Xenopus tropicalis: one gene and its partners. The protein of the gene in region 1 interacts with the protein of each later gene in a pairwise test. Links are inferred from orthologs where the notes say so. Each region holds a gene or a part of one and is shown on either strand. Other genes may lie near its edges.

The links.
Region 2: the proteins of mcm10 (region 1) and mcm6 interact in binary tests that used the Homo sapiens proteins (3 or more experiments, as listed by UniProt). The two-hybrid records come from large-scale screens. The link is inferred for Xenopus tropicalis from reciprocal best matches to the Homo sapiens genes MCM10 and MCM6.
Region 3: the proteins of mcm10 (region 1) and trim37 interact in a two-hybrid assay, tested with the Homo sapiens proteins (2 studies listed by BioGRID and IntAct). The link is inferred for Xenopus tropicalis from reciprocal best matches to the Homo sapiens genes MCM10 and TRIM37.

What each region holds. Positions count from the first base shown.
Region 1 is NC_030679.2:81,877,963-81,881,622, forward strand, and holds part of mcm10 (protein MCM10 homolog), read right to left. Parts: intron 2,659-3,660; coding exon 2,545-2,658; intron 1,932-2,544; coding exon 1,786-1,931; intron 1-1,785. UniProt on the Homo sapiens protein: Acts as a replication initiation factor that brings together the MCM2-7 helicase and the DNA polymerase alpha/primase complex in order to initiate DNA replication. Additionally, plays a role in preventing DNA damage during replication.
Region 2 is NC_030682.2:59,226,810-59,229,775, reverse strand, and holds the end of mcm6 (maternal DNA replication licensing factor mcm6), read left to right. Parts: intron 1-2,125; coding exon 2,126-2,251; 3' UTR 2,252-2,372; downstream 2,373-2,966. UniProt on the Homo sapiens protein: Acts as a component of the MCM2-7 complex (MCM complex) which is the replicative helicase essential for 'once per cell cycle' DNA replication initiation and elongation in eukaryotic cells.
Region 3 is NC_030678.2:95,276,543-95,280,202, forward strand, and holds part of trim37 (E3 ubiquitin-protein ligase TRIM37), read left to right. Parts: intron 1-3,439; coding exon 3,440-3,589; intron 3,590-3,660. UniProt on the Homo sapiens protein: E3 ubiquitin-protein ligase required to prevent centriole reduplication. Probably acts by ubiquitinating positive regulators of centriole reduplication.

The DNA of each region.
Region 1 (3,660 bases):
ATGGTGGGGACGGTGTTTTGGGGGTCATAGGCATAATTTTTCTTCCTCCAAACACAGCGAGTTGAGTTAATGCCAAAGAGCTCTATTTTGGTCTCATGAGACCACAGCACCTTCTCCCAGTCACTCACAGAATCATTCAGGTGTTCATTGGCAAACTTCAGACGGGCCTGCACATGTGCCTTCTTGAGCAGGGGGACCTTGCGAGCCCTGCAGGATTTTAATCCATTGCGGTGTAATGTGTTTCCAATGGTTTTCTTGGTGACTGTGGTCCCTGCTAATTTGAGGTCATTAACTAACTCCTCCCGTGTAGTTCTAGGATGCTTTTTCACCTCTCTCAGAATCATTGACACCCCACGAGGTGAGATCTTGCGTGGAGCCCCAGAGCGAGGTCGATTGATGGTCATTTTGTGCTCCTTCCATTTTCGAACAATCGCATCAACAGTTGTCACCTTCTCTCCCAGCTTCTTGCTAATGGTTTTGTAGCCCATTCCAGCCTTGTGCAGGTCTACAATTTTGTCTCTGACATCCTTGGACAGCTCTTTGGTCTTTCCCATGTTGGAGAGTTTGGAGTCTGCTTGATTGATTGATTCTGTGGACAGGTGTCTTTTATACAGGTGACTAGTTAAGACAGGTGTCCTTAATGAGGTTGACTAATTGAGTAGAAGTGTCTAACCACTCTGTGGGAGCCAGAACTCTTAATGGTTGGTAGGGGTTCAAAAACTTATTTCACTCAATGAAATGCAAATCAGTTGCTATCTTTTATTTAAAGTTATTTTTTCGATTTTCCTTTTGATGTGCTATCTGCCACTGTTAAAATAAACCTACCATTGAAATGATACTGTTCTGAGACTTTTCATTTCTTTGTCATTGGACAAACTTACAAAATCAGTGAGGGGTCAAATAATTATTTCCTCCACTGTATATGGCAATCAGCCATGAAAACAAATGTCTGGCATTGATCAGAGACAAATGGATGTGTGGAACCACTGGTGTTGGTAGTATGGTCTTTTTATGCAGGCTCAGTAGGTAATATGTTTGATGTGACTAAAAGTATCTGTTAACCACTAAATCCAACATAATTAGCTAGAAACCATGTAAACAGAAACCTGCATGAACAGAGCATCATGTTTTTTTGCAGTGAACACGGTGTATAGTTTCTTCCCCACCCTTTGTTGTCACCAACCTCCCCTCCATCAAGCCTTAAGTTCTTATAAGCAGCACATCTACTAGTTTTAAGCACTTAACCCAAACACATTTCTTCAACTAGTTTATAATTTATTAGCAATGCCCCTAATCTTTTACCCTTCCTATCCCTAATGACCAACTTAACAAGGTACAAATTAAACACTAGATTTGTGCTCTGTACCTCCCAAATGGCGACCGCTTAATTTACATAACGAACAGTGTAAATAAATGCGTAATTGATTACATACAGTGTGTAAAGCATGGAGAAGTGACAGTCAACCTTTGGTACCCCAGCTGCTGCAGAACTAGAATTCCTAGTATCACACCAAGCTTCCCTGGCTGGGAGATTTGTAGGACTTATTCGGCAGCATCCTGAATGAAAATAACTGACTATAATTGCCTTAGGAATAGGTTTTCAGATTCCTCCTCATAATCTGCCAATAATACTTGTTTACTGGATACTCTCACAGCCTTATAAAGGGGTCAGTCAGCATTAGCTCATCCACTCACTAACCCTCCTGCACGAACTACCGCATGCATAGTAAGAGATGACTATTTTCAGGCACAATAAAGTCAGAAATTTTTTCACGAGTATCATACCTGCAATGCTTCTTGGGCAATCTGTCCAAGGATATAGTTCTGTTACCACAGGCACATTTAAAGAACCTTTTCACACCATTGTGCCAATGGAAGTCGTGGTTCTCACTAACACATGTCTCTTTAGGTTTGAAGTGAGTGTATTTGCACTGTGCAGAAAAAAAAAATAAAAAGAATTTTGTAGAGGTCAGTAAAGTATATCATGGTGCCCTGTTTTGCATTGCTGGAAAATTATTTTCTAAACTCATAGTTTTGCAAACAATATCCCTTGGAGATAAATGTGATGGTTCTTCAATGCAGTTTAGGGTGGGCTCCATGATAACATCTTACAAATCTTACACCTACAGAAAATAGTAATTAAGATATAACTAGTTCTTAAAAAAGTTTTGGGTCATGAAGCAGATTCTGCCATTTCATTTGGGTTCATGGACAAAAATGATAAACACTAAAATGAAGTTAGAGCAGAGTCTGCATTATTTAATAATAGAAAGGAAGCCTGGGAAAAGTCAGAAAAGCTGAAACAGTTTATCAACATAGGGAAAAAAAGTGGTCTGATGGGCAGACTTACTGGCTTCGCAAACCATAACAAAGGAGAACCCTTCCCCGTGTGCAATGACCTTGCCCTAAAAAAATTACTGTATAAAGCCATGCTGCAGGATACAAAAAGATGGCTTTATATTCACATATTCCTTACAGTGACACAAGTAGAAAGGTTTAAAGGTCTAAAAGGAAATAACTGGATTCTTGTTACAATATACTCACCGTTTTACAAGTAACTACACGACATTCTTGCTCTCTGATGCTTCGCATTTTCTCTTCTAGTTGCTCCTTTTTTACAAGGGGATCAAAATAACGTTCTTGAATCTCTGCTTCAGCCTGAGAAAAAGATTTGTAATTGTAAGAACTATTTTATCTTAGTTCTATATAAGATCACTACAGCTACTTGGCTACATTAAAGAGCCAGTATCTCACACAAAAGTTCTCATAAGGTTAATAATAATAATTACACTTGGGCCACCGAGCAAAAATTATTTTTTGGCTGCACCCAACCATGTGACCTGGAAATTATTTACTTAGTGCATGTACATCAGAGATGTGAAGGCAAGGACTCTCAATGTCACGCAACCTCCCAATCACAGCTGCATGTTCTGCTCTCTCTATAATTAAAGGTTTAAGACTAAAGAGGAGATAAACAGAAGTCAAATATAATTGGGGTTCATTTATAAACACTGGGCAAATTTCCACATGGGCAGTAACCCATGATGTTTGTCTTTTTGTCAAATAATCATAGCCAGGTGCAGGTAGAACAGTATTTTACCAGCTCAAAAAAACATATCATAAAAAGCACACTGCTAGGCACTATGCCTTTTCCTATACTGCAACCTTACACTTTAAAACATACACCATACGGTGTCTGCAGGCTTTCTTCTTCTTTGCCAGCAAGGAATGGGTTAAATACTATTTTATAAAAACTTTATGGTGTTTTCAGTCCTCCAAATAAATATAAGGCAAGAGAACAGAAGCAAGAAGAAGGACCACAAGCTTGCATACACCCTGGCTGGGGTTTCACTAAGCAATTACAATCACTGGGGGGTGCCTAACATTTTGGCACACCCTGGTTATATAGCCTGTCCTTCTCTTTAAGTAGAGGAAAATGACTGTGATGCGCAATCTCAAGCAAGAATCATCAGACAAGCACAAGCAACTGCCCATGTACTTCCCCACTCCTTGCTTTCAGTAAATGTGCCTTCCTGCAAGATTAACCCCACCCTACTATTTCATAGATACCTTTGCCTCCAACATTTAAGAATGCTTGTGCTTTTAAGGTTTAGAAGCATTTTACTACCCTACAGAGAGCACCAAGTGTGTTAACTCATT
Region 2 (2,966 bases), on another chromosome or scaffold:
ACTCCTGCTTTCGTTTTGAATTAACAGAGGTGGCCCCTTCTCACCTCCACCCTGGAGCTACCACCACATCCTGACCAGGCAGTAGCTCAAGGGTTTCCTCGGCACCTGGGTCAATTGCCATTGTTTAGACGTGCCAAAAGAATAAAGGAAAAGAGAGGAGAGTAAATGATGCCTGGCAGGTATAGAAAATATTAATCGCAATCGCACTCTATTTGCAACAAAGTTAATGCGCAGTTGTGTTCATTTTAACAAACTGAATGCAATTGCAGTAGGTGCAGTGCAATTGCATCAAGAGCATCGCTCATTTGTGACTACAATGACACTGGAATTGTGGGGAAAAACATGACTTTAATAAACTTATCAAGGATGTAAGGATTTGTGCTAAGCATTCCTCACTTATTTACCTGAATAGTCCCTTTTACTAAATTTATATTTTCAACACTGATTTAGAAAAGCACTTTAATAACAGTATGTTGAACATCTGACTTTTAATAACAAAATATTGATCTGTAATATAGAGCACTTGTCACTGCTGATTGAATATGTTTGGCAGAGCCTGATTAAGGTTACCTACATGGGGGAAAACTTTTGGATTATTTTTTGTTGCAAAGGTATTTCTAGGTATTTTGAGTATAATTTTTTAGTATTGGCAATTAAGTTGTAATTCAGAGAGTGTGTTGTCTCTTTTTATTTATGTTAAAATACAGTTCACTTTCTGAGGTCTTTCTGCACAAATAATCGCACTGAGAGATTTCAGTTTGGTGATTTTTTTTTTTGTATTTGCCATAACCTGGTATAATACCTTTACAGCAAATTTGTGCATCTATGTATCTTAAAATTAAGAAATTATTTGTATCACTGAATGACCTTCATTGTAGAGCAATCAAAATAAATTGTCAGTCTACTATAAAGCCCTGTGAAACAAAACCCCTCTCTTCCCTCAGCTACAGCCTGTTAGGCTTTAAGATGAGAAGCAGCTTTTATACTACTTTCTAACTGCTTTGATTGTGTTTGAACTGCTAAATTGATTTGATTGTGCTCTTAAAAACCATATTTAGACTTGAACTTTTAGATTTAGTGCAGCAAATAACACATGCATGTTTCTTTATTATAACAATTGGCAACAAGAATATTCATCATAAGCCCTATTCATCAAAAGCCCAGTTAATTATTGAAATGTTTTTATAACATGTAATTTTTCTTGTTTTTACAAATCGCCATGTGAAATAAAGTATGTATGTATATAATTATAAAGCACTACTTATGTACGCAGCACTGTACAGTAGAATAGATTAATACAACAGGGGGTTATTAAAATAATAAATACAAAGTATAACAATAAATACAAATAAATACTAGGTACAGTTGCAATAAGTTAACAATCAGAAAGACAAGAGGATGGAGGTCCCTGCCCCATAGAGCTTACAATCTAAATGTATTTTGGTTTTTATCACAGTAAGTTTAGGGATTTTACTTGTTCCTTCATTTTACCAGGTACCTTTGTATCTGCTGCTATTGTTTGATCTGCTACTGAGCACAATTACAACAGACTGCTGATTAACATCGCAAAAATCTGTACCTTCTGTTTGGTTACCATTACTTTAGCAGTACCATGTTTGTTGGTATATGTGTAGCATTATATGAACGTGTAAGGGCATATGAAATATATATCTTTTCAAATTTTAGGGTATGTAAACAAAAAGCTAAATTTTTTTAATGCAAAAGTAATTCTAAGCAATGTTTTAATATACATCAAAAACATTTTGATGGTTTTAACACTTTGTAAATGTAGAATTGAAAGCAACATTTATCTGTCAAATCTTGAAACAATGTAGCAGAAATCAGCTCTCCTCCAACCAAGGCTCTCACAAAGTCTTTTAGATCCACAAATCAAAAGGTTACCTTGAGACTAGCAGATAACTGATTTCACTAGCTGTTAACATTTACAAATAACATTAAAACCGCTAAAATTTGTGTATATAGGGGCGTTTTAATTAGGGCTTTTTTTAATAATTGGATTTAGATTCCTTTTTAAGGGGATATGAAATCCAGTTCATGTAAATTAAAGTTGGGATGTTTTCACAAACTGGTATTAACATTGCTCTATTTCCAAATTGTTTGCAAGGATCATATTCTGATAGAACTGAACAAATCAGAATTAAAAACAATGGATGATTCAAAGGAGACAAGTGAAGATGCTGCTGAAGATCGAATTTTAGTTGTGAATCCAAATTATATGCTGGAAGATTAAACAGCAGTTTATGTAGGCAAACATATTTGGTACAAACTTTTCTTGCGAATAAAAGGGCGTAATTATGTCATGGTTTCTATGTCCAAAAGAAATGTAAAGTTAAATATATTAAAAATGATTTTGCTATAAAATTCCCTTTTGTCAGTTGTGAATATTTCTTTTTATTTATAGTGGGGCAACTTTGTGCAGAAAATACCATTATATTACAGAAGAACAAAATGGGAGCCGTAACACTGCGCTGCACTACAGTAAAGCCACATGTAGCATTTTTTCAGCAAGCCAAAAATGCTTGGTGAGAATATGCCTGGGTTGAGCAAGGTGGCTGACCAGGTTGCCTAGGGCATCAGGCATTGCACATTTTGCCTCACAGACATTTGCAGAGAGACTGCAGAGGTTACTACTTTTTACCTTACATTATTCAATGGAGTTAAATCTATAGTTAGTTAGATAACATTTAGGGGCAGATTTACTAAGACACGAATGCTCGTAGCGTTCATTCAAATGGTCTGAGCGTATTTTCGCCAAATTTTTTATCGCTTGCGCGACTTTTTCGGCGCCCACGCAAGTTTTCCATACGCTTGTGCGACTTTTTTGTACGTTTGCGCGAAAACATTGGAAAGGTTTTCCCACTGTTTACGATCGTACGGTACGAAAATTTTGTGACTTTCGGATCGCCAGTACGATATTATCGTGACTAATACGATTTTTTTGTAAA
Region 3 (3,660 bases), on another chromosome or scaffold:
CACAGGGTACAACCAGCAGCCAAGGGTGGAATTGAACCCGCGTCTCAGTGGGGGTTGCCTACTGAGGGCGGATCCCCTAACCACTCGGCTACCTGGGACCTCCCGAGTATAAGAGGATCTATTCGTTCTCTTGTCTTAGATATGATGGTGATGTCATAACGGTGTGAAGGAAACATGCAGGGTTAAAGCCGGCTGCACCAAGACCTGTATGAGTAGGGGGACTGTTACATAAGCAGAGAGAATTAATCTGCAAACTGTGCTGCACTATTCATAACATAAAAATAGGCACAACATCGATTTGAAAAGTGTTTGACCTGAAAGCAGGTGCCTGTATGGCTATTCCAGCTGGACCCAATAAAGCCCTATGTGGGTTATATGAGAGACTTTCCATACAAGGCTGGCTGGCACTCTTATATCATGTATACTAACCGTATAAGCACATCGTCTTTAAATGTTGATTGCATCAATGTCTTAAACAGATTTTGTGTCTGTATGTCTATGTATATCCAATAATATATACGTAATTATGTTGGGTTGAAAACCCCAACGTACTGTTCTTCCACTTTAGCTTCTTCCGCTTCTTCTTCTTCTTAGCGCCCCCCCATTTTCTAAACGCTACTCCTCCTACAGTTTTAGGGGTACAATACCCAAACTCCCCACACATCTTCGCCCTATAGCAGAGCAGGTTGCTTGTGCTTTTCTAAGCGATCCGGACCCCCGTCTTTTTGTGGCGCCCTTCTGAACTCCCCAATTTTCCCATTGACTTTGACAGGGAAGATTTTCAAACTGCTGCCACACTTACAGCTTTGAAGCTACACTCCCCAAACTTGAATAACATAATCATGGGGTCACCCCGAATGAAGCAGCAACATTTGTTGGATGACCCCAAAGTGGGAGGGGCCAACAGCAGCCAATCATATTGTACCCATTGACTTTTATGGGAAACTGCTGCCAAACTTACAGCTTTGAGGCTACACTCCCCAAACTTGAATCACACAGTCATGGGCTCAGCCTGAATGAAAATATGATGATTGTTGGATGCCCTCAGAGAGAAATCCGGCCCTGGGACTGGCAGCCTACAGAAGGCTCTGTTTGGTATTATACTTGGTTTTTATGCAACCAAAACTTGCCTCCTTACCAGAAATTCAAAAATAATCATCTGCTTTGAGGCCACTGGGAGCAACATCCAAGGGGTTGGGGAGCAACATGTTGCTCACGAGCCACTGGTTGGGGAACACTGGTCTATGGTAATCACCCCAAACCCTTTTCTGATTGCATTTGTGAAATTATAAAGATGTTATTAAACATCTAATGCAGTGTTTTCGGTTAAATGATTAAACATTTATAAACAAGGTTGTAGCATGGCCACTAAATATGGTTTCTGGCCTTAAAGGGGTTGTTTACTCTTGAGTTAACTTTTAGTATGACATAGAGAGTAATTGGAGAAAATTTGCATTTGGTCTTCATTTTTTATTATCTATGGTTTTTTTAATTATTTCACTTATGTTCCGCGACTCTTCAGCTTGGGATTTTTAATAATTACCTGGCCAGAGTTCAGTGACCCCCATCTAAAAGTTGTAAAGAGTCCAAATCAATTTTGAATCAAATCATAATTAAACAAAACTATTCATAAATAATGAAGACTAGTTGGAAAGTTGCTTAGAATTGGCCATTCTTTAACATACTAAAACTTAACTTTAAGGTGACCCCCCCCCTTCCCTTTAGGGGTGAAGACACACAGAGCTACTAGTTGCAGCTACTTGTCATTGTCACAGCTACAGAAATAGATACAGCTGATCATTTACTGATTATTTTCTCTACATGTGTTTTAGCAAAGGCAATTCTCAATATTGTCTATGGCAGGGTATTTTCTGGCATTTAGTAGCTGTGACAAGTAGCTAAGCTAAGTAGCTCTGTGTGTCTTCATTTAAGCTAAGCTAATGTGTATAACCCCCTTTCCTTTTGTTAGAAAAAGGAATTATTTAGGGCGTTGCTAATGAATTGGTTCATTACTTTTTATTAGTTCATTACTATTTATATTGGGTGCAAACCACTAACCCATGCATTTAAATAAGACAAAGACATCCTGTTTAGTTAGATCTGCATGCAGTGATTTATAGAAATCTTCTAGGCTGATCAAACTACAGAAGGCCCCATCTGGCATGGCTTGTACCTATTACTGAACAGCAAAAAGAAGCTGTATAAAGAAAGGCAATTGTTGATCCAAACCCATGTTTCTATAAACAAACTGATTTTCCATTGTTGTTGTGTTCCTCTCTTATTTTTTGGTGTTTATTATTTCCATAATGCTGCATGCTAAGTACCACTATAGGTTTGACTCAGGTGTTATAACTTAAGCTATTTCATCAAACCTACAGGCATTTCTAGTGGCATCGTCTCAGTGGTTTCTTTATTTAATTGTCTTGGTTTCTAACATGTCTGTGCATGTGTGCTCCTTTGGTGATGAAGTGAAGGTCCAGCACCCAGCTGATGCTTATGAGACATGTACGATAGCATTCAGTGAAATGCAAGTTAGGCTTGTTCCCTTTCTGTCTTAATTGTTTATTTTTTATAATTCTTTTTTAAATATTTGCCTTCTTATTCTGAATCTTTCCAACTTTCGATTGGGGATCACTGACTCTGGTAGGCAAAAACTGCCCTGTAAGGCTACAATTATATTGTCTCTCATTTAAACCACTGTCTGGTTGCTAAGATAGATTGAGCCATAGCAACCTGATGACTGATGAAATTCCAAACTGTAGAGTTGCTGAACAAAAAGTGAAATAACTTAAAAAATGAAGACCAATTGCAGATTGTCTTACACTATTACCCTATACATTATACTAAAATGTTAACGGAAAGCTGAACAACCCCTTTGATAAATGAAACTGGAATGGTGTTTGTGGCCCCTATCTTTTCAGTAATCATATACCTTTTTGAAACAAATATCCAACTCTTCTGTTGTTTCCTTGCTCTGTGAGCTAAAAAATAGTCGTGATTTTTTTTTTATTTTTATTTCCCCTAAGTGATACTCCACATAAAATTGTGCCTTTGTTTTTCTACATGGCTGCATTCTTCCGCCCCTGCACTCATTTAAATTTCAGTGATTGATAGAGTGTAGCACAGAACTTCTATTAAGGTGCCAGCATCTATCCCTGTGTGGAGTGTGAAATTGTGTGTAGGTGTTGGCATTTAGAGAAGGCCTTTCAGTAACATGGTAAGAGACATTTTCACACTTAGTCACTGCTGTCTGATGCGCTACTGTAGCTTTTAGGCTTCTTATAGCATTTTAACATTTTCAGTGCTGTTATTAATAGTGTTGAGCTCAGAGATGAAAGGGATGCGCGAGACACCGTTCCATTTTAATCACCTGGTTGCCGAGTTTAACCCCTGTGTTCCCACACTGTTCTTTTCTAACAAGTGTTTTGTATTCTGACAGCTGCTGTGTGCTCCAAACTCGTTCTGCACATATTGCCAGGGATGAGCAGTGACAGCGACATTGAATGTGACACTGAAAATGAAGAACAGGAGGAAAACATTACGTGTGGTGGATTTAATGATAGCTTCACATCGCAGGCTCAAGGGGAAGGTAAGGAACTGTGCTGTTATCATTGCATCTTCCTGTGCGTGTCCTTTCTTTACTATACGTCCCCTCTATAT